Linked DNA regions of Tamandua tetradactyla. Each later gene encodes a partner of the first gene's protein in a complex. Links are inferred from orthologs where the notes say so. Each region holds a gene or a part of one and is shown in the gene's direction. Other genes may lie near its edges.

What was found.
Region 2: CUL3 (region 1) and KLHL25 share a complex: the UniProt entries of both Homo sapiens proteins name them as parts of the BCR(KLHL25) E3 ubiquitin ligase complex. The link is inferred for Tamandua tetradactyla from reciprocal best matches to the Homo sapiens genes CUL3 and KLHL25.
Region 3: the proteins of CUL3 (region 1) and KCTD5 are in contact, whole or in part, in a cryo-EM structure (PDB 8U83), measured with the Homo sapiens proteins. The link is inferred for Tamandua tetradactyla from reciprocal best matches to the Homo sapiens genes CUL3 and KCTD5. Residues at the interface, in NP_003581.1 of Homo sapiens: Thr24, Met25, Asp26, Glu27, Lys28, Tyr29, Val30, Asn31, Ser32, Ile33, Trp34, Asp35, Leu36, Leu37, Asn39, Ala40, Glu43, Asn48, Ser50, Leu52, Ser53, Glu55, Glu56, Leu57, Arg59, Asn60, Ala61, Tyr62, Thr63, Met64; in NP_061865.1 of Homo sapiens: Trp45, Phe55, Leu56, Thr58, Thr61, Arg64, Asp65, Lys67, Ser68, Pro96, Thr97, Tyr98, Phe99, Gly100, Pro101, Leu103, Asn104, Tyr105, Leu106, Arg107, His108, Gly109, Lys110, Leu111, Val112, Ile113, Asn114, Lys115, Leu117, Val122.
Region 4: the proteins of CUL3 (region 1) and KLHL22 are in contact, whole or in part, in a cryo-EM structure (PDB 8K8T), measured with the Homo sapiens proteins. The link is inferred for Tamandua tetradactyla from reciprocal best matches to the Homo sapiens genes CUL3 and KLHL22. Residues at the interface, in NP_003581.1 of Homo sapiens: Thr14, Arg17, Ile18, Arg19, Ala20, Phe21, Pro22, Met23, Met25, Asn49, Ser50, Gly51, Leu52, Ser53, Phe54, Glu55, Tyr58, Tyr62, Leu66, Met118, Asp121, Ile122, Met124, Tyr125, Arg128, Val129, Gln133; in NP_116164.2 of Homo sapiens: Asp73, Tyr74, Arg76, Gly77, Met78, Gly81, Gly82, Leu83, Lys84, Glu85, Leu92, Ile93, His94, Leu117, Gln121, Val125, Cys128, Gln129, Gln131, Pro133, Trp146, Glu150, Asn151, Asp154, Val155, Arg157, Leu161, Phe162, Asp163, Ser165.

The regions. Positions count from the first base shown.
Region 1 is NC_135329.1:200,351,202-200,358,209, reverse strand, and holds the start of CUL3 (cullin-3), read left to right. Parts: upstream 1-3,994; 5' UTR 3,995-4,111; coding exon 4,112-4,177; intron 4,178-6,452; exon of another isoform or gene 6,453-6,467; coding exon of another isoform or gene 6,468-6,512; intron 6,513-7,008. UniProt on the Homo sapiens protein: Core component of multiple cullin-RING-based BCR (BTB-CUL3-RBX1) E3 ubiquitin-protein ligase complexes which mediate the ubiquitination and subsequent proteasomal degradation of target proteins.
Region 2 is NC_135338.1:93,727,826-93,735,653, reverse strand, and holds the start of KLHL25 (kelch-like protein 25), read left to right. Parts: upstream 1-4,825; 5' UTR 4,826-4,934; intron 4,935-7,828. UniProt on the Homo sapiens protein: Substrate-specific adapter of a BCR (BTB-CUL3-RBX1) E3 ubiquitin ligase complex involved in various processes, such as translation homeostasis and lipid synthesis.
Region 3 is NC_135349.1:54,764,818-54,772,759, reverse strand, and holds the start of KCTD5 (BTB/POZ domain-containing protein KCTD5), read left to right. Parts: upstream 1-4,932; 5' UTR 4,933-4,988; coding exon 4,989-5,240; intron 5,241-7,942. UniProt on the Homo sapiens protein: Its interaction with CUL3 suggests that it may act as a substrate adapter in some E3 ligase complex. Does not affect the function of Kv channel Kv2.1/KCNB1, Kv1.2/KCNA2, Kv4.2/KCND2 and Kv3.4/KCNC4.
Region 4 is NC_135331.1:27,298,768-27,306,437, forward strand, and holds the start of KLHL22 (kelch-like protein 22), read left to right. Parts: upstream 1-4,658; 5' UTR 4,659-4,702; intron 4,703-7,670. UniProt on the Homo sapiens protein: Substrate-specific adapter of a BCR (BTB-CUL3-RBX1) E3 ubiquitin ligase complex required for chromosome alignment and localization of PLK1 at kinetochores.

The DNA.
Region 1 (7,008 bases):
TATTATTTTTTTTTTTAGCCTGACCGTGTGAAGAAAAATTAAGAGATGGGCTTTTATGATGTAATTAGTCATTTATGATTTTTCTTTTTGTTCAGGATGCAGCTTGTCTCATATGCTCATGTTTCACATGCTTCTTGTCTCAATGATATAAGGAAAACAGTAAAGACAAAGAAGAAAAGGTACATGGAGAAGGCGTACAGTTTTCATGTATTTAAAGTATCTATGATTGGGCAGGCCACGGTGGTTAAGCAGGCAGACTTCTCGCCTGCCATACTGAAGACCTGCGTTCGATTCCCTGCCCTGCCCATGCAAACAAATAAATAAATAAATAAATCGGTCAAAGTATCTGTGGTTATGTTCTTAATGGGGAACTCTCTCCCCATTAACATGTTATCTTACAAAGCTTGTAAGCATACATCTACCTTAAATATATACAAAGCCACGTCCAACGGCCTGCAATGCTTATTAATTGTCTGGTGGAGACAAGGTAAAAAAAAGTAGAAGACATAGCTCTTGCTTTCAAGGAAATGATAATATTTATAATCTATATCTTTCCCTTCCAATTTGAAAAACATGCATCTTTTCCTAACACAGTCTTTCCTTATTCAAATACACCGAACAGATCTTTCTAATTTAATTGGTGTCAGCTGTTTTAATATCTGCATAATCAAATCAGCAGTCTGACACAGTGATTAAAGTGCAGTGGTATCCCAGATACCTAAAACTTCCAGCTAAGTAAGTAGAAGCTACTCCCTTTCACAGGCTCTTCAGAGCCCATTCTATCTATTCACAGACTGGGGTGTAGAAAGAGAGCTGGCCCACAGGTCCCCTTCCTGACTGCTATGCACATGCTCCATACAAATCAATGGAAATGGGGCTACCATTTTCCCACGTCAGGACACAGTCAGCATAAGTAGCAACTCCAACTGGCAGGCATGCATGATCTAGTGAGTTCCTATTCCAGCCCTGCTTTCTCTGTAACTGTATAGCAAAGCTAATATCCTGAAAGTTCATTTGCTATTTGTGAATCAGGGACTATCAGTGGGCATAAAAGAATAGTCTACTGCTACTTTAGGGGTTATGTCATACATATTTAAAGGATGCTGCGTTCCTAAGAAAGGACATTTCTGACTTCTGGACCGTAGGGTACATAAAGCTATTGCTGAATGGTTCATGGGTTTGTGGTTTCCAAATCCTGAGAATGTGAATAGGACTATATGTCCTGTGAAGGCAGGTCTCATTTGTCATTTAACCTTAGTGCCTGACATACAGTAGCCATTCGATAAACATATCTTGATTGAACGGAAGAATAAATGAACACATGAATGAGTAGTGGATTTCTTAATGGCAGTGACAGACAAATTCATTTTGAAGTTTTTCTGTTTTGTGTGTGTGTGTGTGCTTAAAAGCCTAACAGAAGACATAGCTGAAAAGATTCTTCTTAAGTGCAGCTAAATTTTGCATAAGCAAAAGCAAGGTAAGAAAAACTGGGTTCACAAAACAATTGATGCAATGCTGGAGTATGAAGTTTTCTCAGGTTTACAGTGGAATAAGAAAAATCAGCACAATGTGTTGCTTTTCATAAAGCTAAATTAATCAATGTAAAGAACAGCTCTTTACTAAAAAATTGACCTTCCTTCTTTCAGTGGTTAAAATGCTTTTTCTTTACTAAACTGATGGGATAATCTGTGGTAGTTTTTCTTTTCTAATGCCATAATTATCAAATTAAAGTTGTTAATCCTACATCCGTTTCCTAATATTTTGAAAAATATTTTACTAGTTTGTGAAGTCTATGTCTTGAAGCCTGGCTTAGTTTTAAAATATGAACATTTTAAAAAAACATACATGTACCTTTTAGAAACCCACATATTAAATAAAAGAAGATAAACCATTATCTGTGAGTATAAGCAAGATACCAAGAGGGTAGCTGATGAGCACTGCTCTCAGGGCTTTTAAAAATGTATTAAGTCATTTAAAGTTGCTAACAGCCCAAACAGGAGGTATTATTATTATTTCAGTTTTACAGATGAGGAACTCTAGGCACAAGTTCTTGTCCCAAAATACACATAACACAGCCAGTAAAATGGCAAGGCTGGGATTCAAAGCAATATTACAAAGAAACTGGGCCACATGACAGTACACCAGTAGGAAAGCACTGGCTGTTTTCATATTCTAATGATCATGGAAATGATGGCTCAATTAGCACACAGATTATAAACTCCTATCCAAGATTTATATTATCTGATATTTAAACCAGAGCCCCTCCCAATCTTACCTTATTGTCCCAGTTATTGATGACCTATTTTTAGCTTCAGTATTTATTCAGATATTGCCTCAAGCAACACCCTCATTTCTTAAGCTCCTGCTTTGATAGGTTAATAGCAAAAATCAAAAACAAGAAAATACATTTCCAATGGGGCGTGTCAACCAAGTAGGGGCTGAAAGCATACTCACAAGGTAGTTACCAGGACTATGTTAACTTAGGGCAAATTCAACCGTAAATTAACAACTAAAAAAAGCACACTTGAGTTTACTTAATCGGTTTTGTTATAAAACAATTAAAACTCCGGTTTTCCAAAGTAGATGCCCCTTCCAAGAATTGTGAAGATCAAATACTTTAGTAGGAATGCACACATCCCTCCGCAGAGCCTGAAACCCAAATATAACAATAACTGAGCAAGTAGGTAAAATCAGGAAGTAAAATTCAAAATGAATGAAAAGGCAAAACGGACAAGTCAAAACTAAGTGTTTTGAGTACAGTGATAAAAAAAACCTTTCAATTTTACAGCAGCTTGAGTTAAAGACAATAATTTTGGTTTTAAATACCTACAATGCTCTTGGTAATGGTAAAAATGTTTTGACAGGTTAAAGGTAGGTTCTTATCTTCCATTTAATGCTATTTTCCAAACTATGGCACTACTCTAAGGGAGTTACTGTATTTCAACGGAAACGAAAAACAGATTTTAACACCAATAAGCCCTTAGTCCCCAGAAAATGTCAGTGAGTTCAGAGTCTGGGAGCTTCCTCAATTTAAGGAAATGTTGCGGATTAACACCTTCACCACTAAGTCCTGAGAGCTCGGTGAGCACAACCTGTACGAATACTCTGTTAAGCATACAGAACCCTAATTTCCGACACTGCAGGACACTCTGGCACAAACTCTTTCGGCTTTCTGGCTTCTACCCAGGTACCCATCCCTAGTACACATGCCCTAGAAAAACACAGGAACCAGTTCTAGGACGTAGCTATGCACCTAGCATCCCACGCTCCTCCCCGAGACTAGCCTTTGCCCACCCAGCCAAACCCCGTGCTGTCCACTTCCCCGCCGCGCCCGCTCTCCGGACTTCCCCCTCCCACTTCGCCCACGTGACCAGAACACCCCCGCGCCCCACCAATCAGCAACCACCTCTGCCCAGAGCCTGGTTCCGACGCTCGCCTGTGGAGAAGGCTGCTAACTCCTTCCGCCCTCAGCCCCGCCTCTTTCCCCGGCTCCTCGCCCCAGCGGCCCCTCCCATTTCTGCAACTCCCGGTTCCCCTCCTCCCTTCTCGCTGCACCCTCCCGCTCCCGGGCTCTGTGCCGCCCCACCTGGGGCAGCGCGCTCGCCCCTTTCTCGCGAGATCTGAGCGTCCCCGCCGCGGCCGCCTGCCTACCCCTCCCGTCCTCCCGTCCCCCCCTCCCCCCAATCTCTCCACTCTCCGGCTCTCCTCCCTCCCTCCTCCCCCCTCCACCCTCTGGGCCGGATCTCGTCTCGCTGAGGCGGAGGAGGAGAAGGAGGAGGAGGAGGACGTTCGGCCTGCGCAGTGAGATGTTTGTCCGTCGCCGCCGCCGCCGCCATCGCGGAGGAGCGCGATAAAGGGAGCCGAGCCGGGCGTGAGGGGCACCCCGCGGAGCCGCCGCGCCAGCGCAGCCCCCTAGCCGAGCCCGAGCCGTCGGAGCTCGAGCCGCCGCCGCCGCCGCGGCCGCCCAGGGGCCGGCCAGCTTCCCCAGCCCAGTCCGGGGGCCGTGCCGCCGCCGCCCCCAGCGTCGCCCCTCGCCTGCCCGCCCGCCTTAAATGTGACACCGGCGCTCGGAGTGCGACCTGAAGCCGCCGCCGGGGAGGGGACGAGCACCATGTCGAATCTGAGCAAAGGCACGGGCAGCCGGAAGGACACCAAGATGCGTATCCGGGCCTTTCCGGTGAGTACCTCCTCGGCGCCCGGGACCCCGGGGCCGGAGCTCCGGCCGAAAGCCGCACGCGAGGCCCGGGCTGAAGTCCCCCAACAGGCCGCAGGCCCGGTCTCCCCTCCCCCCACGCCCGCCGGCCGCGGGGCGCAAGCCTTCTAGGCAACCGGGCGGCGCAGGGCCCCGGCGCGGCCGCTCTCCTGGGCCGTTCCCCGTGCCCAGGCCCGGCTCCCTGCCCCACGCCCCGTAGCTGCGCTGCCAGCCGGTCGACGGGCGTCGGCTGCGGCCGGAGCCCCTTCGCTGGTCCCAACACTTCCCCTCATTACTGGGGTGTAGGCCCAAACCCAGGCACTCCTCTCCCCGCTCGTTTCCTGGGACTCCAGCCCAGCAGGGATGGGGAGTATCGTAGTCCTCCTTGTATGGGGTGTGTGTGTAAAATTTCACGTGTGATTTGCAGCGTCTTAAGAAATAACCCATCCTAAAAGACGGCCAAGCCTTTAGGGTGATAGGGGACTATCCTTTCTCTCTCTTTTTCTTTATCTCCTACTCTATTCCCTCCTTAGGAAGGGTTATGGGCCATCAACTTACTCTCGATGTAGTGACAGTGGTTCCACGTAATGCTTGATGGTAATATGCTAATAAATCCGTGTATTTATCACATCTTTCTTCCCATAACCGTCCAAAGCACTTCACAATTTCTCTCGTGCAGAAATTGCCTCACCAGGGACTAGGGGAAGCAAGAGAGAACAGATTGGACAATTGGTCCTCGATTTCCCAGCCTTGGAAGTCCAAACGAATGAATAGTCGTTGCCCTAAGTTGCATTACTCTATCGGTTTTAGTGACAGCAGATGTATTATGTTTAGAAACTTTGTTTTTATGTATCGCGTTGAGTCAAACGCTTGCGGCGTTTGGTTAGATAGGGTATAACTTTTGATTTCCTATCTGATTCAGATAGCCAATGGCAAGCAATTAAAATGCGCTGCTGTAACAGAAACTGGACATACTTGCTCTTGTCGCTACGGTAACAGGCATACGACAGGATAGACAAAGTAGCAGTTGAACTAGGATTAATTTTAAAAAGTCAAACTAGAGAAAGATCTTGATTTTCCTTTCTTAAAAGCATAAACGTACATCAGGTGAGCGAGAAAGGAAGGACATTTGTACTTTTTTTTTAAGCGTGCTTTTTCTAAAGTACACTGTTTGCAGAGAGAAAAAACTTAATATAATTGTCGTAGTTGAATGAGTAACAGTCCCGGAGAAAAAGAAAATACACTGGTGCAGAAATCTGAAATGTCATTGTTTAGAAATTTAAGACTATGTAAATAAAGGTAGGATGTACTCTAGAGAATTACATGTTTTGATACTGTTTAAACGGGTTTTGAATTTTTAAAGTTTATTCCCTAAGCAAATGTGAGAAATTGCATTAGAACATGAGAAATGTTGGTAAGAGTACAAATGTAACTGGCATGTTTTTCTCGTGATGGGGCAAAGAGCTGGATTTATGAATTTGTGAGTAACGTTTTCCTACTAAGACCTTTTTTAGCAGAGTTTAGAACTATTCAGACTTTTGTCAATTAAATGGACAACACATTTTCTAGGAAGTGTTTACTATCTTAAAACTGCTCTTTCTTGAAGTCTGAGCTCTTTTAGTTGAGATTTGTTGCTAAAATGTGGAGTAGCTCATATTTAACATCAACTCACCTGTTACGATAATATTATACTGATTAAAGAGTTGTTTCTCTTTTCACCTTTACCTACTTACCGACTGTTTGATCTCTAGATTTGCCTGCTTTTACCTGTTCCCCCTCTTTTCATTCAGCAAATGTTTATTGAGTATATGAACCACATGCTATTCTAGGGGCTTGGGGTAAATCTGTATAGCTTGGAAGACCAAGATCTCTGCTTTCTGGAACGTGTATTGTTGCAGGGCTTCGATGGAAGTGAATTTTCTTTATCCTTTAACTGACAAATATTTGTGATGATAGGTTCACAAATAGTACTGGAATTGGTTTAATTATGAATGTTTTAAGATTCTACTTAATGTTATTTACAGTGCTGTATGGTTATGAGCTAATTTAGACCCTTTCTGTCTATACTTTATTGTCCTGTTTTTCTAAAATCCTTTAATAAAAGTTTGCAAGGTTTGATATTTAGTAGTTAAAAAAATCTAATTTTTAAAAGCGGGAGTTTTTTCATTACTATTTTATAAGTAAGCTATTTGGAAGTAGCTCCTGTTGAAAAGAATCATTGTTTTTTAATATTTATTTTTTAATTCATAGTTCCATGAGCCTTCATTAAGGACAGATGCATGCTTCTGTGAATGCTGTTCAACTGATTTACCCTCTCGTGGTTGAGTACTTATATTCTTTTTTTTTTCTTCCAGGTTAGCAACCTTGACTACCTAACTACAGTCTTCATGGGTCACTAGTCAGAAGTAGTAAATGCATAGCCTTCCTTAAAGAAAAAAATATTGTTTGTGTGGTATACTTACAGCTAGTGGGTTTTACGTATACCATGTGGCCATATAGTTTCTTAGAAGTTAAAGGAAATTATAGTTTACCCTCAAGTCTCAAGTGCTCACTAATGATGTTTTTACAAAATTGATGTGTCAGAATTTATGAAAATATATTTTGCGAACGTTTTTTTTCATTGCAAAATGGAGTGGTGAGTGAACTTACCAAATATATTGTATAGATGTGTGGGTGGACTCTAGGTATAGTCCTACTTAGTAAAGTCAGGTGCTTTTTAGTGATTTGAGTGCATACTTAAAGTGTGCTTTTATGATTGTGCTGAAGAGTGAAAGTTTTATCGTACCACCATTTAATGCACTATTTGCTTTTGAAGT
Region 2 (7,828 bases), on another chromosome or scaffold:
GATTTAATGGCAGCAAACACCGCCTGTGAGGCTTTTCTCATTTCATTATCAATCCATTGAATTAGGGGGTTGTTGAGAGCCTGCTGTGTGCTGGGCGCTGTCAGATCTGGAAATGAAGCAGTGAATAAAGGAATGCCCTGCTTTCCTCAAACTTACCCTCTGGGAGAGAAGACAGCCAATTAAAAACAAAACAAAAATTTAAATATATATATACATGTGTGTGTCACCAATGCCCTCCGGCCAGAGACCACCAGGCACAGCTGCAAGTGAATAAGTTGGGTTTAGGACCTGCTGCAATGAGACAGAACACACAGGGGGGATAATGGGGTGCCCTAGTAAAGGGGTGCTGGGAAGAACCTGTAATAGGATTTGGACTTTAGATGGGTGATTGGTGCTCTCAGAAAGGGGGGATGATTCTGTGACTGGGTATCCCAATAAATCTTCCTTAAAGTGGGGCAGACCAGAAAGAGGCTTAAACTGTAATTAGTGAAGAAACAATAGTCACTCACTCTGGCCCCCAGAGAGGAGGATTTGGGATATTTTGTGGCTTGGACAATGTTCATGTTTTACCCTTGTTGAAACCTGACAATCCATGGTCTCGCTTTTCCCTTGATCCAGTGTGTTTTGATGTGATGTTCTGTGAAATAATTTATGTTCATAGGAGAACAGCTGTGAGCGCCACGTTGTACAAGTGTAAAAACGCTGTGTGTTTATACACATAACAGGCAGCAGGATAATGATATATTCTGGAAACCTCAGTGGCAGCCAGGATTTTCTGGGAAAACATAGGTTATCAAAATCGTCTCAAAGATATGTAGAAAAACCCACAAGTCCAATGACAATGGAAAGGGTGCCAGGGGCTGCTTCTCTCTTTCACTGTATGTACCTATACGTGGCTTCAAAATGGGTAGGGGATGGGGTGGCCGGGGCGGGAACGTGGTTACTTCATGCAGGGGCTGGGCAGGGAAAGCCCATCTGATAGGGTGAAGCACAAGCGTGAAGCCTGTGGACATGGCAGGGAAGAGCCTTCCAGGTGGAACAACTAACCCAGCAGAGACCGTACCTTGGGAGTGCGATGGGCTGGTCTGAGCACCAGCAAAGTGGTTGATGGGTCTGCAGCAGAGTGCTGGGTGCAGGGAGGTGGGAGACGGGGTGCAAGGGGTGGCCCTGGCCGGGCCCAGCAAGGCCTGCTGTCCGACGTGTGGACGCTGACCCCCACGCTGGATGAAGATGGACAACGCCTGTGGAAGATGTTGAGCAGAGAAAGGACATGATGAGGTTTCCTTTCAGCAGCTGTGTTGAGAATAAACTCAAAATAAAAAAGAGAGAAACTGGACTCGGTTGGGGAGGGGATGGTAGGGAGCAGAGAGATGAATCAGGAGGCCGCTGCAATGGCCCAGGCCAGGGATGACTGTGGACGTGGTGAGAGGGGCTCAGTCTCTGCAAGGATTTCCTGATAGTGGGATGTACCAGAGAGTGATACCAAGATGTTTTATTTGAGCAAAAGGAATGCTTGAGTTGTCCTTTCCCGAGCTAGGGAAGTCTGTAGGAGAAAGATCTCATTTGCAGGGCAGCATATCAAGTCTCCGTGGGGGCAAGTGAGGATTGAGGGGACCCTGGACATCCAAGCAAAGTCATTGAGGAGCAACTGTACTGATGAACCAGGGGCTCGTGGAGAAGTCAGGGTTGGGAATACAGCTTTGGGAGTTGCCAGTGTTTATAGAAACTTAAGGCCATGGGCCTAGATGAGGTCTCCTAGAGAGTGTGAGTGGGGAGGGAAGGGGTCTTCCATGTACCTGCATTCATTTCCAGAGCACTCCATAATTTGCGAGCCTAGGAAGCAAGGAGAAATCAGCAGAGACGACTGAATAGGGAAAAGTAGAAGGAGAACCAATAATTCAATATCTATTATCAAATATGTATTGAGTTCTATGCTTCATCCTAGAGTTTCTAAGACCTTAGATTCTGGGCTACCAGGAATACAGGACAGATGGTCATGTCAGGGGGATAAAAGGTGTTGACTAGAATGGTTGGCTGACACCAGACATCTGTTCTTCCCCTTTTCCTTGGTAACAGAGCCCTGATTTTGTTTGGGGAAGGTGATACACTCATATAGAAGTCAACATTTCCCAGCTGCCCTGGTAGTTAGATGTGGCCCTGTGACTAAGTTCTATCCAATAAGATATAAATGGAAGCATTGTGTGGGATTTCTGGAAGCTGGTTAAGTGGGGCTGACAGGGCTGGAAGGTACACATCTGTTGCTCTTCCGCCCTTATTCCTTCCTGCTGCCTGGAATATGGATGCTATAGTCAGAGCTCTAGGAGCCATCTTGGACCATGAGGCAACCCTGGAAATGGAACCCAGGCATTAAGGATGGCAAAATGGAAATATAGGAGCCCAGGTCTCTGATAACAGTGGATTGCCTAACTTAAGAATTCTTTTACATGAATGAGAAACAAACTTCTATCATGTTTAAGTCACAGTTATTTTTGGTTTTCTATCATATGGAGCAAAAGCTAATTCTGATACGAGATTTTTTTATCGTGTTTCAAAACTGTGTGTTCAAACAATTTGTGTGAGGGACCAAGGATTCAGAAATGGCTGTCTTGGCCCTCCAGGACTCACTATGCAGGGGGGAGGACAGGTACACAGGTCACTACAATGCTGGGTTGGAAGGGGTTGTGATGGTGGTTCTGCTCCAGGGTCTACAGTGAGGACTGAGACAGATGGTGAAGCAAGCTTCATCGCCTCTTTTTCTTTCAACTTGTATCTAAATGCAATAACTCAACACATGTCTTGATCTGGTTTCATTCCATCGCCTTTATTTGATTTTAATGTATTCCAGTACCTAAATTAAGCCTTGGAGTTGGGGGGGGGGGGGAAATGATAATCTAGACCAGATTTTAGATGGTTGGCATTTATAATTTCATAGAGAACCTGTATGGAATGTTAAGTAGTGGTTCCAAACTTTCTGAGAGTCAATTTTGCATGTGGTGCTTCATCCAACCAACAATTATATAAATTCCCTAGCTGTAGAAAATTGGCAAGAAATTAAAACTATAAATATGCTCTGTGTCATTTCTTTAATGGAGCAATTATTTTGATGCTGCGTCTTTCCCCTTTGAAGGTACTTTGGTGCATGTGGCCAAATTGCTCTTAAATAATAGAATTTTTGTATTTTTAAAGTCTCTGATCTGGACCAGAGACACAACCCTGCATAAAGCAGAACCACCATCACAACCCCTTCCAACCCAGCATTGTAGCGACCTGTGTACCTGTCCACCCCCCTGCATAGTGAGTCCTGGAGGGCCAAGACAGCCATTTCTGAATCCTTGGTCCCTCACACAAATTGTTTGAACACACAGTTTTGAAACACGATAAAAAAATCTCGTATCAGAATTAGCTTTTGCTCCATATGATAGAAAACCAAAAATAACTGTGACTTAAACATGATAGAAGTTTGTTTCTCACTCATGTAAAAGAATTCTTAAGTTAGACACTCACTAGGTGCCACGTTCATTACATGCATTATCATATTTAATCTTGACAATAACTCTGCAAGAGAGATTGTAGAATCCTCCATTTACCAGTATGAAGCAATCCTATACAGCTCTTGAGGGACACAGCTGGAATTCAAACCAGGTCTCACCCATTCTCTACCCATACTATTTCCCCCAAAATGCCTTCCCTGGTCATATTTTCTCTGTCATCTCAGAGCCTTTGAAGCCTGGAATCTCTTTTGCCCAATCTAAGGAGGTTTCTAGTCATGGGGCTCTATTTCCATTTCCACCTGTCATAATCCTACCCTTCCTTTAAAAGCATTTGTACACTCCTCTCCTCCTCCTTAAACCTTCTTTGCACCTCCCATCTGTGACCTCTGCTTACTAGGAATTCTCCCTATTCCAATGTTCAGCTGGCTCTTATCACTTTCTATACTTCACTAGAGTTATCTGTAACCTTAGGTGACCTACTTGACTTATCTTTCTTCAGTAAAAGGAAAAAAAGAAAGAGTATTTGTTGTGTGCCTAGTCATAGAAGTTTTGTCTTCTTTAATCTTCCAAATAATTCCCTGAAGAGTTTTTAACTGCCATTTTACAGATGAAGAAATTGCATGCATAGCAAGCTTAGTGATGGAATAGGATGCAAGCCCTATAGGAATGCATGGACGAGGAATTAAGAATCTTTCAATTCCCTAGAGACTAACCCACAGGCATCTAGCAAACATTTGTGGAATGAATGAATGAATGAATATTTGAAAGCTGGCTTACAAAAAGAGCCCAGTGGGAAATGGCAGGGGTAGGAGCGCCGAGATACCCTGAAAAATGCAGATTCCATGCACAAATGAGGTCTGTGGGTGCCGAAAATTCCAACCATTGAAATCGGCCCGGAGTAAAAAGAAAGGGTTTCTTAACCTCGGGCAACTAAGAGTGTGATTCTAGACTATGCAACGAAACCTACAGGTTTGTAATCTGGGGACGGCAGTAAACGTATATGCAACGTACATAGCCCCTTCCTTAGGAAAGTTGTAGAACACATTTTTGCTTTGGGTTTCTAACTTTGGCCCTAGGAGGCACGTACGCGCCTGCCCCTTTAAGAATCAGGACGAAGTCCTTCTCCTGGGCCTGCTCCGCCCCCTCCCTGTACCCCGCGGCCCGGGCGCCCACCCCTTTCTCCTCCTCCGAACTAACACGGGTTCGGCTGTCCATCTGTCACAGAGGTGCCGCCTCTGATTGGCTGCTGTGCTTCGGCCAGGGAGGCGGGGCGGGAAGGCCGGAGAAACTAGTTTGTTGGCGGCGCCCGGGCTGTACCGCAGCGGGAGCGCGATCCGGGGCTGCGGCGGAGCCGGCACGCAAGCGGCGGCGGCGGCGGGGACTGCGGAGCCTCGCGGAGCGGTGAGGGGCGTCTGAGTGCGGTGGCCGGCAGCGCCTGGGGCGGTGAGTACTTGGGCTGGGGGCAGGGGCGCCGACTCGGGGCCGCCCGGCTCCAGCGCGCCCGGTGCAGGTTCTGCTCCAGGAACCCGGCGCGCGGAGCCCCCTCCCGCCGCGGGCCTGGGGAACCTGTCCGGCCCCGGGACCCGGCAGCGCCGGGCCCCGCGCGTCCCGCCGGCGGGAACCTCCTGCGGAGGGAGCCTTGGCCCGGCCGCATGTCCCGGCGGCAGCACGGCGCCGACTCGCGGAATTGTCCCGGCCGCCGGGGGGTGCGTGGGGCCTGGGGTCGGGGACAAAGGGGGACCGCAGTCAGCCGCGCCGGGGCCTGGGGGCCGCGGGAGGGTCTCTGCTGAGCGCTGTGCGCGGGGGAATGAATTGCTCTGCAAATGGATGTTGCGCGCGGGAGCTGCGACTCTCCCTTGGGAGGGGTTGATTCATTGAGCCTGCAGACTCTCTTTTTAAAAAAATCACTATTGATCCCGGAAGGAGGCAGCCGCTGTTCGCTGAGGGTGTGCGCGCGCCTCGGCTTTGAGCCCCGGCCGAACCGTGGATACCAAGGGAGAGGTGGCTGCCGGGGCAAAACCAGGAGAGATGGGTCTAGTCTGGCGGGGGTGCTCCAGGGCGCAGCCGCTGCTGGGGAGAGGAACTGTCCGATTTCTTTGTCGGGCCGAGTAGGTCTCTCGCCGGACACCGTGATGGTCTGTTTAGATCTGGGGGCGCCAGAGAAATGGTCACAGCCCTGAAGTCACAGCCACCTGCCCACCTGGAGGGCGGCCACCTGGCCGGCCGAGAACAGGCCTCTTCCAGCCTGACTCCTTTTCCCCATCTCTCACCCTGGTGCCCAGACCCGCCCCCGGCCCCACCCCCACCCCCACCCCCACCCCCACCCCCTCTCCCCTTCGTAATTGCTTTAGAAGCTTTTGGTTTGAGGATTTTTAACCAAACCTCCCCAACAGGGACACTACCCACTTTCTTTGCTCTAGCTGCAGAGGTCCCCAAAATTCATTCCCATTATCTTAGAGCAAAGAAAACCTATAGAGACATGAAGGGATTGGGTCTAGGGAGGGGGTGGGCAGCTCCCTGCAGATTGTAGCTGGACACTGCGGTCCCCTGGGGCCCAGTGGCTGTCACCATGGGGAAGGCTTGCTGGGCTTCTGCCCTCTGTGGTCAATTAGGGCACAGAACGTCGGGCACCTGGACCCTTTGGTTTTGCTCTGGCCCTGATAGGCCCTTCTAGGGAGGGAAGTTCTCGGCAGCACTCGGAGAGAAGCAGGAACCTCCGTCTTATCACAGTCTAGACTCGGGAAACTGTGAACAGGAATCAGGCCCCTTGGGACCTGGGCGTTGGCCTCCCCATTTGTAGAGGGACCAGATGCCTGCTGGGCAGCCCTGCAGCCGGGCCTCCTGGGAGCTGCTGTGAGGCTCGCACTTGGGGCTGGGAGAAGCAGCTGGGAGGAGCAGGACACAAGGTCCACCCCACCAGGGGCACTTCAGTGTTCTTCAAAGACAGGGGTTCCTTGAATCCCAGCCCCTCCAAGGCCCGGCAGCTGTTTGGATCTTGAGTCATTCCGTTTGTCAAGAAGTGACTCCAGGGAGATTATTAAAAGGAAGGTGGAGGGAAACTGAAGGAACCTTAGTCTTGGTTCTCCACCGCAGTCACAGTCAGATTTATGTTCGTGGTACGGAGAGAGGAGCTGAGGGCGAATGTGGGCTGCACGTTGGAGGCAGCTTCTGCAGCCCCATGACTTAATAGCAGCTCAAACCTGCAGGCACTTGGTGTGGGCAGAGGAGAGCAGGAAGGAAGAGAAAGCTACTAGGAGCCGAGGTATGTGGCCTGCGATGAAAGCAGGCTTGGTTCTTCCCATACAACACAATAGGGATGAGGGAGAAGGAGTGTGGTATTTAGTGGTGAATTGGTCATTCATTCATTCATTGATTAACTCATTCACCGGACAGGCTTGGTGGGGCACCCGCTGTGTGCTACACCCCGGGCTGCTGGGTGCTGGCCACCCGCCTTCAGGGAGCTGCTAGTGTGGAGGGCTGGGCCGTGGGCCTGCACACTGCCCCAGGGATATTGGCAGCAAGTGGAGGTGAGGGGGCACAGAGCAGAGCATGGGGCTGGGGCTGGGCTTCCCGAAGGAAGGCTGGAGCCTCCGCTGAGGAAAGATGGGGCAGTGGCATGCCACAGTGCAGTCTGACTGCAAGCCTTAGGAAGCTGCCGTGTCTCCCACACCCACCCACAATTTTCCTAGAGGCCTGTTCACTGCTGCAAACCTTGAGGTAGGTGCAGCAGGCTCAGGTCCAGGTGGGAGGGGGCGGAAAGGTTCTCAGCAGTGGGTGACCCAGGCTGCAGGGCTAGTGGGACCGGGTGGTCCTACATGAAGCCGGGTGGCTTCTGATGCAGCCTCTGCTCAGGGGGGCTGGGAGAACCCAGCCCACTGGCCTGAGGCTGGCTCAGTGCCTACACCCTCAGTTCCTCCGTCCCAGCCAACCTCATGGGGGTAGCCTCGTCTGAATGGGAGGGCAGAGCTGGCTCGAGCAAGCAGAGTGGCCAGGCACAAATGAATTGGCTAATTGAGAGGCTGATTTTCGTCTCATGTGTGAAATTTCATAACTGAATTGCCTCGGCTGGCCAAGGCTGCTGAAATGTTTTGTGTTTTACCAGCCAGGAAACCCTTAGTTGGGACAAGCTGGGGTGAGGAGGGGTGGGGGTCAGGGGAAGGGGGATGGGGAAGGGAACAAGAGGTGGGTAGCACTCATGGCTCCCTAGCCTTTAGGCACAGCATTCCACCCAGACTCCCCCTTATCAGCCTGCGCCTGCAGCCCCTCCCCCCGATGGAGGTCAGCCCAGCTCCCACAGAAGGTCCCAACCCTTTCCTGGAACCCTCATCCCCTGAGCA
Region 3 (7,942 bases), on another chromosome or scaffold:
TCCCCCGATTGGTTAAGGAGGGCTGAGAGAAACTGCTGGTGTTGTGTACATACAGTGGTTACTTAGTCACACCCAGGTGGCAGAGGGAGCAAACGGCCCCACCATCACGTGCACCCCTTCCTGGTGATTGTGGGTAAACATTTTTCAAGGCCTGACTCAGAGAGTTTTTCTCTCTCTACACTGAAAATTAAAATTAGCTGAATTTTCTCATGTTGCTGCATCATCTGGTCCCTTAAAGAGCAGACTCTGCCTGGAAAAGAGTGTTATCTGCCTTGCAGGAGAGACAGGGCACCACATATCCCACCTCAGTGTACCCAGTCTGCTTTCCTCTTCTAGTTGTTGGGTCATTTCCTTTTGATGCTTAGGAGGCAGCACGCTGCTAGAACAGCAGAAGGGGTCCAGAATTTGCTAGTCTGTTTGTTTTCTTTGCCGTTCACCTGTCAGGAAGCCCTCTTGATAGTGCAGAAGGGCCCAGCCATTCCTCTGGTGGTCCCGCTTGTCCCTGGAGGACAGCCCTTGGCCTCTGTGTTGAAGAGGGGCAGGACCCCACCACCCCTGCAGTCTGCTCACAGACATGGCCTTGACTTGAATGTCCCAAGGGCATGAGAAGTCGTGCACTTTCCTTTAGATTTTTACAGAGCAGCACCAAGGAAACAGTGAAAGGCTCACATAGAAGAGAGTCTCCACACCACCTCCCTGCCCCTCCTATTTCTTATCTCAACTCTGTGAACCGGGCCAGGTCCAAATTGAGAGGAAGGATTTCTTTCAAACTGTTTCCATTTGAGTGATAAGTGGTTCTTTTTTAACTGGGAAAAAAGTGCAGGTTTGGAGAATGCCATTGGGATTGAGCAGTGAGAAGGGCTTGCCTCTGCTGTGGTTCCTGGGTGGGTGTGGTCCATGAGAACTGTGAGTATATAGGAGCTGGGTGGGGGGCGGGGGGCAAGGTGTCGGGGTGCCGTAGGGGGCAGGACTCTCGCAGGCACGGTGTCTGAGCACTCTCTGGGGCCCAGCAGGCTGCCCAGGGTGGCCGTTGGTCACAGTACCTCCTCTCCTCCTCGCTTTTAAAAAGGCTCACCTCTGTTCTTCTGCTTTTAAAAGGTGAGTCTAACCTGGTTGTATCTTTCAGGAGTTTCTTTTCAGGCTTACTTCTTTTTTTTTTTTTTACACTTTACACTTTCCAGAATGCCTCATTCTGTGTATGCAATGAGGAGAGTTTGGAGCTTGCCCCCAGCCTGTCCCCCTCTTCTGGGCTCTGGTTAATGGGACACAACAGAACCCGCCCTGGTCTAGCAAGGGCTCTTGGCCGATTATTTGGGGACAAGATACAGTTTACGTTGGCCTTTTCCCCTCTGGATAGCGCCACTACCTCTTGGGCGCCACCAACCAGCTCCCATTTTGATATCCTGAATGAGATAATTGGAAGGTTCAGAAGTACGCTCTCAGGTGACAACTGAAATGGCCACCCTCTGCCTGAGTGGATGACAACAGGCCTCTTCTCTAGAGACCATTTTCTCCTCTTACTCAGAAATGCCTGCCCCCCTTCCTTCACTTTTTAAGGTCTTTGCGTGTTCTTTTGCTTAGTCTTATCCAGCCCATCCTTGGAGCCGTAGCCCCAGCATGCCAGTGCCTTACGTTCTAAGATGTGCACATGGGTCTGGGTCATCAGACGTACGTAAGAGAAATTAAATGTGAATGTTATCCAAGGTGAGAAAAAAATCAGGGCCCATGTGTCTTTACCGGAGTCGGTAAGGACAAATGTAAATGCCCAGTCAGGCAGCCTGCTGAGCCGAGACTGCCCCCTCACCCCTTGGCACAGATGGGAGGAGGGATGGCCAAGAGGGCTGTGGGCCTTATTGGCTCAGGCAGCCCACTCTGCCTTGCCTTGCTGTGAGAGGAAGCTGGTTTGGGATGAGGCTGCTCCCTTCTCTCTGTGGACCAAACCTGGCCAGGCCAGAGCAAAGTCCCTCTGCAGATTGCTAAGTCCTGCTATCCCCGTGGAGAGCAGTGCAGCGTGCTATTTGAGGCCTCTGTTAGGTGGAGTCTGATTAAAAATTTGCTTTGGGAAAGATGGCTTGTGTTATCATATGCCAGAGCTGGCAGGCACCTCTTCACTCACCCCAGCCTGCTTTTCCGGCCACTCTGGTATTTGTGAGCCAGGCCTGAAGGAATTGCAGAGGAGGTAGCCCCATGGCACAGACCCTCAGAGCTCACCATGGGGTACTTTGTTAGAACCAGCATTTGTTTTCTGAAAAAATCTACTGCGGGCTCACCACTCAGAGAAGACCACTGTGAACGTTTTGGTGTCTATCCTGCCACTTATCCCCCTATGCACATTTATTGGCTTTGTTAAGTAAACTGGGATCACGCAACATATACAGTTTTGCATCAAGCTGTTTCCACTTGGTATTTGATCTTAAGCATTTCCCTATGTTGTGAACAATTCTTCAAAAACATGTTTTTAATGATGGTAGAGTTTAATGATTGTAAATTTTATCATAATTTATCTGGCCACTTTTCTGTTGTAAAACATTTATATAGTTTTTGATTTTTCAGTATTTAAATATTGCTGTGATGCATATCCTTATAAATCTTTGATTTTGACTCTATTTCCCCCCTCCCCCTTAGATTCCTAGAAGTGGTATTTTGGGATCAGAGAGTTTGTTCATTTTGAAGGTGGTATTGTTCTTTCTCTCTCTTTGATCTGATGCTTAGATGCATAGAATTCCAATATCAGAACATCCTTAGTTCTTTCCTTCAGATTCTGAACACATCCATTTCTGATAAGGTCTTTGTTCCGAAGAATGTTTGAATAAGACCACTGTTTTTTTAAATTGCTAAAATGATACCATTACTGCAATCCATCCATGATAGATTTTTTTTCCTAAAAACCAGCTTACTTATTTCCGTTGAAAGAATCTGATTGTTCATGCATGTTATCTTCCCATCCCTGCTGCTATGGCTTTTGAGTGGTTGGTGATATTTTCAGAATCTTGTACTTTGTGTCTACAATGGTACTGAATTTGCTTCTGCACAGTCAGCAGAGATAAGTGTTGAACTGACCTTGCCACATGTTTATTGGATAATTTGTTATTAAGTTTATAGACTCAGAAAGTATACTTGGCCTTTGAAATCTGTAGAAGAGCCTGTATACTTGAAAAAGAAACTGTAGACTGAATCTTATGGAAGAATGTGTGTGTGTGTCTCAGCTCTTCACACTGTAGAATATGGTCAGAAGGTTTTAGGGGTCCAGGAAAGCATAAGGGCCCAGTCTTTTTCAGTTTTGAATGTGATTATCCTGGCTGGTATGAATTTAAGGAGTTCTCTCCCGCCCCTCCCACCCCCATAGCTGTCAAGCCAGACCATCCAAATTTGATATCAATTTTATTTTTTCCATGTTAGGGGATCCATTGATTTTGAGGGTAAACATGCATGACAGATTTTTCCAGGCACCATGCTCAGTGCCACTTGACAACCAGAGGTTACGGTTGAATTGTGTGGAATTAGGCTGCTCGGCCTTTCTCTGACCCCCTAGTCCCCTCCCCTGGCTGGTCCACAAACAAGGGTGATCACTGCCAAGACATCAGAGGCAGTGCGAGCCACAGTCACTGCGAGCATGTGGTGAAGGTACTATTCTTTGAGATGTTGCCATACCTGTTTTTCTGTTTTGTTTTCATACCCAAACCTAGCATGAACTGTAGATGACTCAGGTGGGTGTGTCCTTTTCTCCTCAGGCAGTACACTTGGCAAGTGCTTTCTGATTGGGGCCTCTGAGGGTGCAGGCTCGCTGGCTGAAGCTCACACAGTTCAAGCCAGGCTGCCTGTGGAGAACTGGTCTGAGGAGGAGGCGGCTCCGGAGAGGGCAGTTTTATCTCTAGCTCAGATGGCCATGGTGGGGAACTGAACGAGCCTACGTGTATACCTGGGTTTTCCCCATAACTCATTTCTTCAATGTGAAGAAACACCAAACTTTATGTACAGAGAACTTTTTACAAAAGACAAACCTTTTTTAGCTGTGTGATCCACTTTAGTCTAAGCCATCTGGCTGAATGACTATGGATTGGGGTCATTTTGCTAGTGACAAGCCTCTATTATGACCATCAGCTTGATTGGACGTTGGCAAAATATAATTGTGGCAGTAGTTAGAGCTGCTGTAGCTGTTCGTTAAAAAACATAAGAACCGATAGTATGCTCGCTGCCGTTCAGGTTGGTGGCAGTCAGTTAGAGCATGTGTAATGTTCTCTACCTGGTCTGTAGCTGTAACTGTGATGTACAGGCAAAGCAAAAATTAAAAAAAAAATATGAAACAATGCAATGATATTAGGATATACACTTTTGTATTTTTATTCTTATATAAGGTTATTTGCTGGCTCTTGTTGGCCTCTAGTTCAGTCTGTGTTATTTAAATTCTAATATATGAATTATTTGGATTGAATTCATGTTCGGGGACACGTTGTATGTATTGATGTACAGCCTTGAATGTGAATAATTATTGTAAACTATATTTTACAACTTTTTTTCTGGCTTTATTATATAAATTTTCTATTTGGTCAATGATTTAATCATATCATAATTTAATGAGTCTGTTTATCCCCCCCCCCTTTTTTTCCCCAAGTATTTGTGCTTCAGATGTAGTTAACGGATGATGAATTCTCCACGTATGCTCGGTAGTCTTGTAATAAAAAAGCATGTAGAGGTGTTCGCTGGCGTGGCTCTTCCTTTGATCCGGAGTGGTCGCGATCTGGGATTTTGGAGATGAGAATCGAGCACCGGCGCACCCGGGCCACGCTGGGAGACCCTTGGCCCGGGACCGGCTCCCTCCGGAAGTGGGCACGGCCGGCCGATTTTCCCCGCCGGAACTTCCGCCTCCCGCGTGCCGTCGGGGCGGGCGCTCTGCTAGGGCTGGCCCGCGGGCGGGACGGAGCCGGAGGACGGTATTAAAGGCCGGACGCTTCCGGCGGAGGGGAGCTGTGGCGGGGCTTGCCGGGATCATGGCGGAGAATCACTGCGAGCTGCTGCCGGCGCCCCCGGGCGGCCTCGGGGCGGGGCTGGGGGGCGGCCTGTGCCGTCGCTGCAGCGTGGGCCTCGGCGCCCCGGCCCAGCGCCCGGGCAGCGTGTCTAAGTGGGTCCGGCTCAACGTCGGCGGCACCTACTTCCTCACCACCCGGCAGACGCTGTGCCGGGACCCGAAATCCTTTCTGTACCGTCTGTGCCAGGCCGACCCCGACCTGGACTCGGACAAGGTGAGGGCCGCGCAGGCCGGCCGAGGGGTCCGGGCCCGCGGCACACCCCCTCTTGTAGCTGCGGAGACCTCAGCGCAAGCGGCCACTCGCTGCGGGTCCGGGCTCCGATCCCCGCGCCTTCCGTCGCCACCAGTTCATCCCGGACCGTCCTGCGCGGGGAGGGAGAGGAAGGCGCCCTGGCGCCCGCCACCCTCGCGGATCCCCGGCCGCTTCTCCTCGGGGCGCCTCCCTTTCTTCCCGTCTCGCCCTTCGCGAAGGAGGTTTCCCAGACCCCGGAGTTTTTCTTCGCTGTGGGTCTCTTTTCTTTTCCTCCCTAGATTCTTTCGCCCCAGGGTATGAACCCCGCCGCTTCTTTGTCCCCGCGGACGTGCTGGCCGCGCAGGCGGAGAACCCTTGCTTTCTTCTGGTCTTTTCACATTGTGGACATTGACCTGACGCCGGCTTGAGTGGTTGGCACAGGTGACCTCCTTCCCAGTGATTTGCATTTAGAGAGTTGGTGCTCCCTCCGTTTCAACCACGGTAGCACGCGCCACCCCGCCGCTCAGGAGGTGTGCGCAGCGTGAGTTTTCGGAGGGAGCATTTCCTATGTTAAAGAGTGCCTTGGAGGTGCCCAAGCGGGAGCAGGTAGATCTTTTTTCACTCTGCTTTGTAAATAACTTTAGTTTCCCCATTACCTTCACAAAAGGGTAGGAATTTTTGAGGTTGGTTTGCAGCTTGTCTTTCCTTAAATTAAATGCTCATCCAGTTGTACGGTAATAGATGGTAGCAGAAGCTACTTTCATGATTACCTTTGCAAGGGTTGTAAGCCAAGGAGGAGTGTTTCTTAGGAGTTATAAAGGATTGAAGCTCCTGTTGGAAGAATAATTGTTACTTGTTTTTTGTCCTTGGCAGTTCACAAGCCTTAGACCAACTTTGCTGGGTCTCTCCGTTGAGCCTACATAATTACACTTGGCTTTGTTCCTCGCCAGCCCAACATTTGCTGTGCATTAGAAAGCTTCCTCTTTAAAGCAGCCATCCTCAGTATGGCATGACCTTTGTGCTCAGGAAACGAGAACTCTCAAGTTACCACAAAACCACCCATCCCCTTGTTAGAAACCAGGGTTTGTGATGCCAGCACTCTCATCCCCACTCCCCCTACCCCCTCCTTCCCCAGCTGTTTCCATTGCTGGTTTGACCAAGCTGTCTTCTCTTAAGAGAACTGATCTCCCAGAAAATGAGGCTTCTCCAGGATAGAAGGAGACTTTTGTTAGCTGTGATTTTCTTTTTATTATGTGGGTGTGTGCCTCACTGTTTTGTTTGTCTTTTGAAACAGTGGATCTTAGTGGTCATTCACTTGCATTTCTATTCACACACTCCCATTTTGTGTATTAAGTCACATTTCAAATTGCTTGTGTGCATTGGGTAGTTTCAAGGCATTGATTGTATTCAATACTGGGACAATCTACTCAAAGCTGATTGACTTTGGCTTGCACTACTGTCCAGTCTGTTCGTCCTTGTGTTTGTCTCTTAAGACTACTTAAAAAAAAAAGCTGCAAAAAAAAAAAAGCTGCTTTACTGTAATAGAAATCACTGCGGGGGGAGGGTTAATTAGCCAGTATATCTGTGCTGTAGTTGTTTTTTTTCATCATCCACTTTAGCACATTTGCTTTCCTAATTGTCAAACCAAAAATTAGTATGTGAACATAATACAGCAGATAGTCTCAATGTCTCAGAAAATACCTTCTAGTAAATAAGGGTTAGTTTTAGTGATGGATAACATGAAATTGCCAGAAAGGGTAGTGCTAATTCACGTTCGCGACACTTGTATGGTGTTCTGCTTTAAATGAGAAGAATGTATATATAAAAAGCTTTATGCACAGATTTTTTTGTTGTTCTGATGAAAGAATGTCCCAGGAGAGTCACTCCTGGAGAATTACACCCTGAGTGAGGAATCCAAAGATGAGGGTGGAGGGGAAGGGGTGATAGGAGGAGTGGGGTAATTTCATGATGGAAGACAAACAGGATGTTGAGTCACATGTAAAAATCTCTGTGCTCTGACATCATAGTTAAGTTAATGAAAGGCTGCCTGGCGGATATTCCCTTCCTTGAATTTAAACACAGACCTGGGGAAAGATTTTCTGTTTGGCATCCGACTGCTGTTGATTGAGCAGCTGGGCACTCAGGTGAGCGGGCGGGTGGGGAGAATGGAAGAGGGAGAAGAAACAGGAGACCGAACCTTTCAGAACCTGCCCAGCATTTGGAGATGCCTGTGAAGGGCTTCCAGAGAATGCAGGCTCTAGTGGTGAGCTACATCAGTCACGATGTGTAAGCAGAGGGTTTCTGGAGGAGGAGTGAGAAGTTGACAGACAAGTAGGGAGGGTGGGGAGTGGGCCCCAAGCCAAAAGCTGGGGATTCTTTGCAGGGCACAGGCAGCTGCTCTCACCCTCCTCCCGCCGCATGTCTAAGCCTGTGCGTGGGCTGCAAGTGCCACTCCCCCTACCCCGCCCCCCAGGTCCTTGCACTCCGTGTGTCAGGGCCAAGCCTGGGGCCCACTGCCTGCCAAGCCCCGTTCCCCTCTCCTCAAGGCTGACTGGAGTCCACTGTTTCCATGAAGTTCTCTTTCTAGGCAGCTGAAGGGTGTATTTTCCACTTCCTCCTGGGACTTCCTCCAGCGGGACTGGCTGTGTTGTGCATTTCATTATTTCCTTGCCTGCTGTCCTGTA
Region 4 (7,670 bases), on another chromosome or scaffold:
AGGCATTTTACATTTTATTTAAAATCTGCCTGAGAGATTTCAAACAGAGTCAAGAGGTTATCCTGGAGGTTATTCTTACGCATTATATAGATATTCCCTTTTCAGTTTATGGTGTATTTGAGTGGCTGGAGCAAAGTACCTGAAACTGTAGAGCTGAGTTCCAGTAGCCATGTTTCTTGAAGATGCTGTATAATAATAAGGCTTTTACAATGTGACTGTATGATTGTGAAAACCTTGTGTCTGATGCTCCTTTTATCCAGGGTATGGACAGGGTATGGCATATATGAGTTTTCTCTTTTTTCTTTCTCTTGCTGGGGAGATGCAAATGTTCAAAAACAAATTACACCACTAAGTGGCTTGAAATGACAATAATAAATGCTCGTGCTTCATGGTTTCTGAGCTTCAGGAATTCAGGAGAGATTTAGCTGGGTGCTTCTGAAACAGTGCCTCTCATGATGAAGCTCCAGGGAGATGCTGGCCAGAGCTGCCATCACCTGAAGACTTTGCTGATGTTGGAAGATCTGATTCCAGGCAGATGGCTCAGCTGGAAAGCTGGTTTTGGCTGGAGACCTGTTTCACGGGAACCTCTCCTCAGGGCTGCTTGGGTGTCCTCACGAAATGGCTGCTCACTTCCACAGAATGAGCAATGCAACAGAGAACAAGAGGGAAGCTGCAATGCCTGGTTATCATCTGGCCTTGAAAATGACATGCCATTACTTTGTCCTCATTCTATCATTTGGAAGTATTCATGGGGAGTGAAAGTGAGTCTCACCTTTCGAAAGGAGGTGTTTCGGTTTGCTAAAGCTGCCAGAATGCAATATACCAGAAGCATATTGGCCTTTTTTTTTTTTTTTTGCATGGGCAGACACTGAAAATGTATTGGCTTTTATAGTGGAGATTTATTGAGTTACAAGTTACAGTTCTAAGGCCATGAAAATGTCCAAATTTCAGCACCAAGAGGATACTTTCACTGAAGAAAGGCTGATTGCATCTGGGTTTTCTCTTGTCACATGGGAAAGCACAAGGTGACATCTGCCAGCCCTTTTCTCCCTGCTTTTACTGCTTTCAGCTCCAGGTTCTGGTGAACTACTCTCTGAGATTCTGTCTGTCTCCAAGCATCTGTGTCTTTCTACTTTCTGTGTCCACAGAGTTTTCTCTCATAAAGAGCTTCAGGAAAGGATTAAGACCCACTTTGAATGGGTAGGTTCACATCTCCATGGAAACAATCTAATCAAGAGGTCCCACCCACACAATAGGTCTGCCCCCACAAGATTGGGTTAAAAGAATATAGCTTTTCTGGGTGCTTCCAAACCAGCACAGGAGGTGAGGTAAAGAATTTACAGATGTATTTTAAAACCACTACACTGTCCGAATTGGCTGTTCCAATCAACATTCCCATCAGCAACACATGTTGTGCTGGTTTGAAAGAATGTATGCCTCCTAGAAAAGCCATGTTTTAATCAAAATCCCATTTCATAAAAGTAGAATAATCCCTGTTCAATACCATATGTTTGAAACTGTGATTGGATCATCTCCCTGGATGATGTGATTTAGTTGAGTGGTTGTTAAACTGGATTAGGTGACCACATGTCTCCACCCATTTGGATGGGTCTTGATTGGTTTACTGGAGTCCTATAAAAGAGGAAACATTTTGGAGAAAGAGATTCGGAGAGAGCAGAGAACGACATACCCACAAGAAGCAGAGTTCACCAGCCAGCAACCTTTGGAGATGAACAAGGAAAATGCCTCCTGGGGAGCTTTGCGAAACAGGAAGCCAGGAGAAGAAGCTAGCAGATGATGCCGTGTTCCCCATGTGCCTTTCCAGATGAGAGAGAAACTCTGACTGTGTTCACCATGTGCCTTCTCACTTGAGAGAGAAACCCTGAACTTCATCAGCTTTCTTGAACCGAGGTATCTTTCCCTGGATGCCTTAAATTATACATCTATAGACTTGTTTTAATTGGGACATTTTCTCAGCCTTAGAACTGTAAACTAGCAACTTATTAAATTCTGCTTTTTAAAAGCCATTCTGTTTCTATATATTGCATTCCGGCAGCTAGCAAACTAGAACACATGTATATTCCCCATACTCACCAAATCGTGATTTCATCCCACTTTACATTTCACCATGTTGATGTGTCAAAAAGCGGCAACTTATTTGCATTTCCTGATTAGTAATGAGACTGAACTCTACTTTGTTTACAACCAGGGTACTTCCTTCTCTGGGAATGCTCAGTAAATATCCTTTGCCATTTTTCTGGCTGGTTGTCTTTCTAATTACTATTGATTTTTAGAGGTCCTGGATACTAATCTTTTTTCTGTTGTATACATCGCAGATTATAGTCACTGATTCAGTAATTTGCATTTCTTTTACTGTCCCAGTAGGTGATGATTCTTCACAGTATTTATGAAGTATGAAGTTATTCTTCCACTTTCATGTATTAACTTTTCATGTCCTTTCCCATTTAACTATTGGAATCTTTATATTCTGTTACTGTTTTCTATGAATTTTTTAGATATTAAGGCTGCCATTTGTTATCATTTAGTTGCAAAAAAATGTCTTCGCCTTCTTTTTAAGTTGACTGCCATCAAATTGCTTTGCAGGCAGGTCTGCTGCTCTTTTCCTTTGTGATATCTTCCACTGGGTTGAGGCTTAGAAAGTCTTCCGTCATTTATAACCATCCTTTAGCCAGTCTCCCTGCTTCCCATTTCTCTCTGCTCCAATGCTCTCACTTTGTGTTTACCGAGCACCAATTGAGTACCAGACCCTGTTCTGGGTGCTGGGATACAGCTGTGGAGGAGCAGATGAAGTTCTTTCAGAGGAGTTCCTAGGAAGTGCACACATCCACGGGAGGATATCAGAAAATCTGCACACCACAGCTACAGAGGCCTCCTCCTATCCTGCCACTTTCCTTCTCTAGAACTTTCCAGTGGTGAACCACTGACCTGACCTGGTATATTTTGAGATGGTTCTTCCAGCTCAGAGATGTGTCCCCTTTTCCCCAGCCCCTTCCCTTGCTCCTCTGGCTGCCTACTTCTCACCTGTTTCCACCCTCTTCATCCACCAGACCCCTTCTCCCACCTGTGAAGGTACTCCCTTCCCCTCTCCCAGAATGGGCTTCCATCTGTCCCTCTCATCTTCCCAGCCACACCTCCATCCTTGCAGGCCAGCTCTGCCATCGTTGCAGATCCAGGGGTCATGCTGCTTCTCTCTTCAGGGTCTCTCTTGATACGTGGTCCTCAGCCCTTATCCCCAGTCACCTCTGTGGGTGCCTTTTTTCTGGGTGCTCCTGATGTGTCCATGCTTCTGTCCTCAGCCACTTCTCCTGACCCCATACTTTCCCCCTCAGTGGGGTCCTCAGATGGCATTGGCAGGCCCCTCAAACTTCTTGGGGCCAAGAGGGCCTCATCTCTATTCCCAGTCAGCTCCTGCTCTGCCTTCCCTGTCCCCCACCATTCCTTTCGGGCTCTCCACTTACCTATCATTTGTCCATATCCTGGAACTTGCCCCTTTCCCAGGTTTCCAGCAGCACCAACCTCTGTTCTCACTTCCTGCCTCTCAGCCTCCTAGTCCCTGCTCTGCAGAGCAGCTTGTGCAGCCCAGGCCACTATGAAATGCAAATCAGCTTCTCTGCTGCCCTCGGGGTCAAGTCAAGCCTCCAGGGGGAACCTGTCTGGTCTCCAGTACTCCCTTCAGGCTCAGAAAACCCTGGGGCCCTCCCAGTCACTCACACGGCTGGTTCTTGCCTCCATGCCTCATTCACACTGTCCCCTTTCCTGGAATGCTTTTCCTGCTCTCCAGAAGTCTCCGTCTGTTGTACAGCTCAGGGGTCACCTCCTCCAGGAAGCCTTCCCAGGAACGCACTCATTAGGAATCTCTGCTCCCTGTTGGGTTCTCTGGTACTCTCTGGGACATCATTCCTCTTTCATTTATTGTCTTCCCCTCCCCCTTTCTTTTTAACCATTAGCACTCCCTGTCCACACCTCACCCCACCCCCTCTATAGGTCACCCCCACCCCATCTATCTTGAGACCCTGCACTGTGACATCTGCACATGGCCATCAGATGTGGTGTTGGAGGACCCGGACCCTCTTGGATGCGGTGTGGAGAAAAACAAGCTCCAAGAGTCCCCTCGGGACGACTGAGACAAGGCCCGAGATTTTGGAAACTGGACTTAGTCCAGAGTCCAGGTCAAAGGAAAATAAAACAACTTGTTCACACAGGTTTCTTCCACCTGACTTCCCAGGGCCTGGCCCAGACTTAGGCGTCTCCTTTCTCCAAATCCACCTAGAGGTTCGGCTACTGGTGGAGGAAGGAATGAATGAGGCAGGGAAAGAAGGAATGAATGAATGAGTGAGCGGGAGGGAGGGTGGGCGTGAAGAGGGTGGGGGGTGGGGGATGAGAGAGGGAGGGAGGGTGGGAGTGATGGATGAGTGAGGGGGGCAGGAGCGGGGGAGGAGGACGCGGATTTACGCTGAGGGACCCTTGCCAGGCGGGGGTCGGTGGTCCTCAATCCTCCGCGCGCTCCCCCAGGCGCCCGGCGCTGTGCGGGTGGGGCCTCCTCCGCGGAGCAGCTGCGGGCTCCAGCCCCTGTCTCCGGCCTTCTCTTCGCCTCTGCGCCTGCGCGCGGCCCACGTGACGCACCCTCCCCGCGCCCCGCCCCCGCCCCGCGAGTCGGCCTCGGCCTGCGGCGGCTCCCCAGGTGAGCTGCGAGGCGCAGGGCGGTGTCGGCGGCGGGCTGGGGAGCGCCGGCCCGGGAACACTGGCGGGGGCGGGCGGGGAGGGCCGCGGCGAGCGGTGTGGGCGCACAGGGGCGCGGGGCGGGCGCGGTCTGAGGCGCGGGGGCGGCGGCCTGAGGCGAGCGCGCGGCCTGACGTGGCGGGGGCGCGGCGGGGGCGCGGCGGCGGGGGCTGGCGGGGGGCGGGGGCCCCTGGGGCGGCCTCTTCAGCCGGGTAGGCCAGTGGCCCGCGGCGGGCCTCAGCGTGACCTTCCCCGCGGCGCCCCGGGCCTGCAACAGGCGGCTGCGGCGGGGCTTCGGGGCGCGGGGCGGGGCCTGACGCCACCTAGGGCCTCAGTTTCCCCGGCCGCGCGCTCGCGCTCTGGCCACCGTCTGAGGGGTTCAGTGTGGGGGTCCTGAGGGGACGCGGAGACCGCGCCGTCAGGGGCCAGGTCCTGGGGCGCGAGGCGGGGTCCCGCTTTCGGGGAGATTCCCCCCCCCCCCAGCCTCCCTTCCTGTCCTCTCCTCGCGTACCCCTGGCCCATCGCTGTAACTCTTCCTGCAGGCTGCCTACATCCGGGGTTCGTCTTGGGGCTCCTCGGAGGATCACCTTAGGACCCAGTAAATGGTTGTGCAGTTGAAATTCTTTCTGCCAGGCATACCTTCATTATAATTATTTTTCTGTCCAGTCTGTACTTGATGGGGGTCTAAGGCTTACTCTTTGATTCTCTGAAACTTTGGAAGGCATCGAGTGGGAATCTGGGATCTGGCTGGAGGGATCTGGGATCTGGCTAGAGGGATCTGGGGAAGAGCCTCAGGGTAGTCCTTTGTAAAATACGTCGGGAGGGGAGGGTGCCACAGCTTCAGCTTGGAAGAGCAGTCTTTATTCCAGAAAACAGGTGTGAGAAGGGAATCATAAAGGGTGTGCTGCATTTGGCTTAATTTTCTGTTTTTTTAGAATGCTGTCAATTGTGGAAATATGAATTTATCTATATATGTATAACTACATTTACTATATATTAAACTATATAGTAAAAACTCTGAAATGCGTTTTTGCATTTCAGTCAGAGCAAAGACTATAAAGAAACACTATTGGTGAGTTAGGCAGTTTCTCATGCTTCTCAGGTTCTCGTGCTTTGCTGCTTGGAGAATAAGTTGGCATAACCTGTATGCGGGGCAGTTTGACAATATCCTTTAAAATAAAAAATATTCGGTGTACAGGTGGTTCACTGGTAGAATACTCGCCTGCCATGTGGGAGACATGGGTTCAGTTCTTAGGCTGTGCACCCCAAAAATAAGAAATAAATTAAAAATATACTTTAAAGTAAAAATGACTCAGTAGTTCTGTGGCTCAGTAATTTCCCTCAGATAACTGCCACATGTATGTTGTGGCATGCATAGTTGAGTTGCGGGGCCAAACTGGTTGCAATAACAAACTGCAGGAAACCCAGATGCCCCTCCACAGAGGATTGTTCAAATAAAAATGGCTTTCCATATAATGGACTGTGCAGGAATAGGGTATATTTTCCTGTGCATCCCCTTCCTTCTGGAAAGTGGAATGATAGTTGCGTGTGGGAGAAGATTAGTTAGGATGTAGGTGAAAGAAAAACTTAAGTTTCATGGTATACTTTTCTACTGTACCTTTTGAACTAGAATCACGTGAATGTATTAACACACTCAAAAATAAGTGAGATTTTATTAAATATTTCAAGCTGACAGAAAAATACAGAGAATGATACACCACCTGTCCCATTCAAATCCTAATGCTTTGTCTTGCCTTTTCTTTTTTAAGAAATAAAACCTTTGGTCCTTCCTGGAGGTAACCATGACCTTGAATCTTATTTATCATTCCAATGTTTTTGTTCTGTTTTATACCATCATAACATCCATCTGTAACCAATATAGGGAGAGCATTGTTTTACATGTTTTCGAACTTTTTGTAGGCACAATTGTGCAATTTGCTGTGCCCTCTCTGTTTCTCTCTGCATGACTTTGAGGTTTTTCTGTGTTGACTGCTGTGGTTGGAGTTCTCCTTGGCTCACTGAAACTATCTTCTGGTATTCTGTTGAATCTCCAAGGCAGATGTTTCTGGGGTGGCTTGTGTTTGCTTTACGAAGAGGGTTCTCATATGCTGTCTTGAACATGTTGCGCTCTGTCGTGTGCCTTCTGAGCAGGGAATGCTTTCATTTTTCTTTACACACCCCTGAACACCTAGCTTAGTTCCTCAAGTTGTGCTTGTTAAATGGGGGCTGGGCCTACTCAAGGAAACAGCCTCCCAGTTTTGTGGACTTGTTTTTGCAGTAGGCATTGAGGGGTAGCTGCCTTCCACCTCTTCCTTTCCAAAGAATGGGGGGCTGCTGTGCTCCAGGTGGCGTGGGGCCCCCGCCTGGGGACTGGGTGTTTGTGATTGCAGCCAGTCTTCTCTACTGAAGAGGAAGCCAAGGCTTGGGGTTTGGAGCTAAGTTCCCAGAGTCATGTTGTCAGCAAGTGGTGCAGCTGGCCCTGGGCTGAGCAAGTGCATGAGATAAAACGCCAGCCGTCCGGGAGCTGGAATCTCCTGGGTAGGTGAGCCTGCTGTGATTGATGGAGTGTGGCCCTCGTGTTCTTTGTCCTGGGGAGAGAAGTGATTGAACTAGACCTTGACCAGCTCTGGGTTGTAGAGACAGAAAAACTGAGGCAGGCAGGTGAAGGCGGGCAGAGGGTGATGGGTGTCCATTTGGGTCTAAAAGCTAGCAACAGGATGTTGACGGAAGTACAGCTTGAAGGAGAGTTGAGCCAAATTTGGGGAGCCCCAAGTGGTACTAGGAGGAGGCCATGCTTGAGAAGTCAGGAATCAGAGGAGGGACGTCGTGGGACGGCCGTGTGGCCTGAGCGGGGAAACCGGGAAAGGATCAGACAGCAGGATAGCGAGACAAGTTTGGATGTCATTGCAGGGGTTGAACGAAGGTGCTGG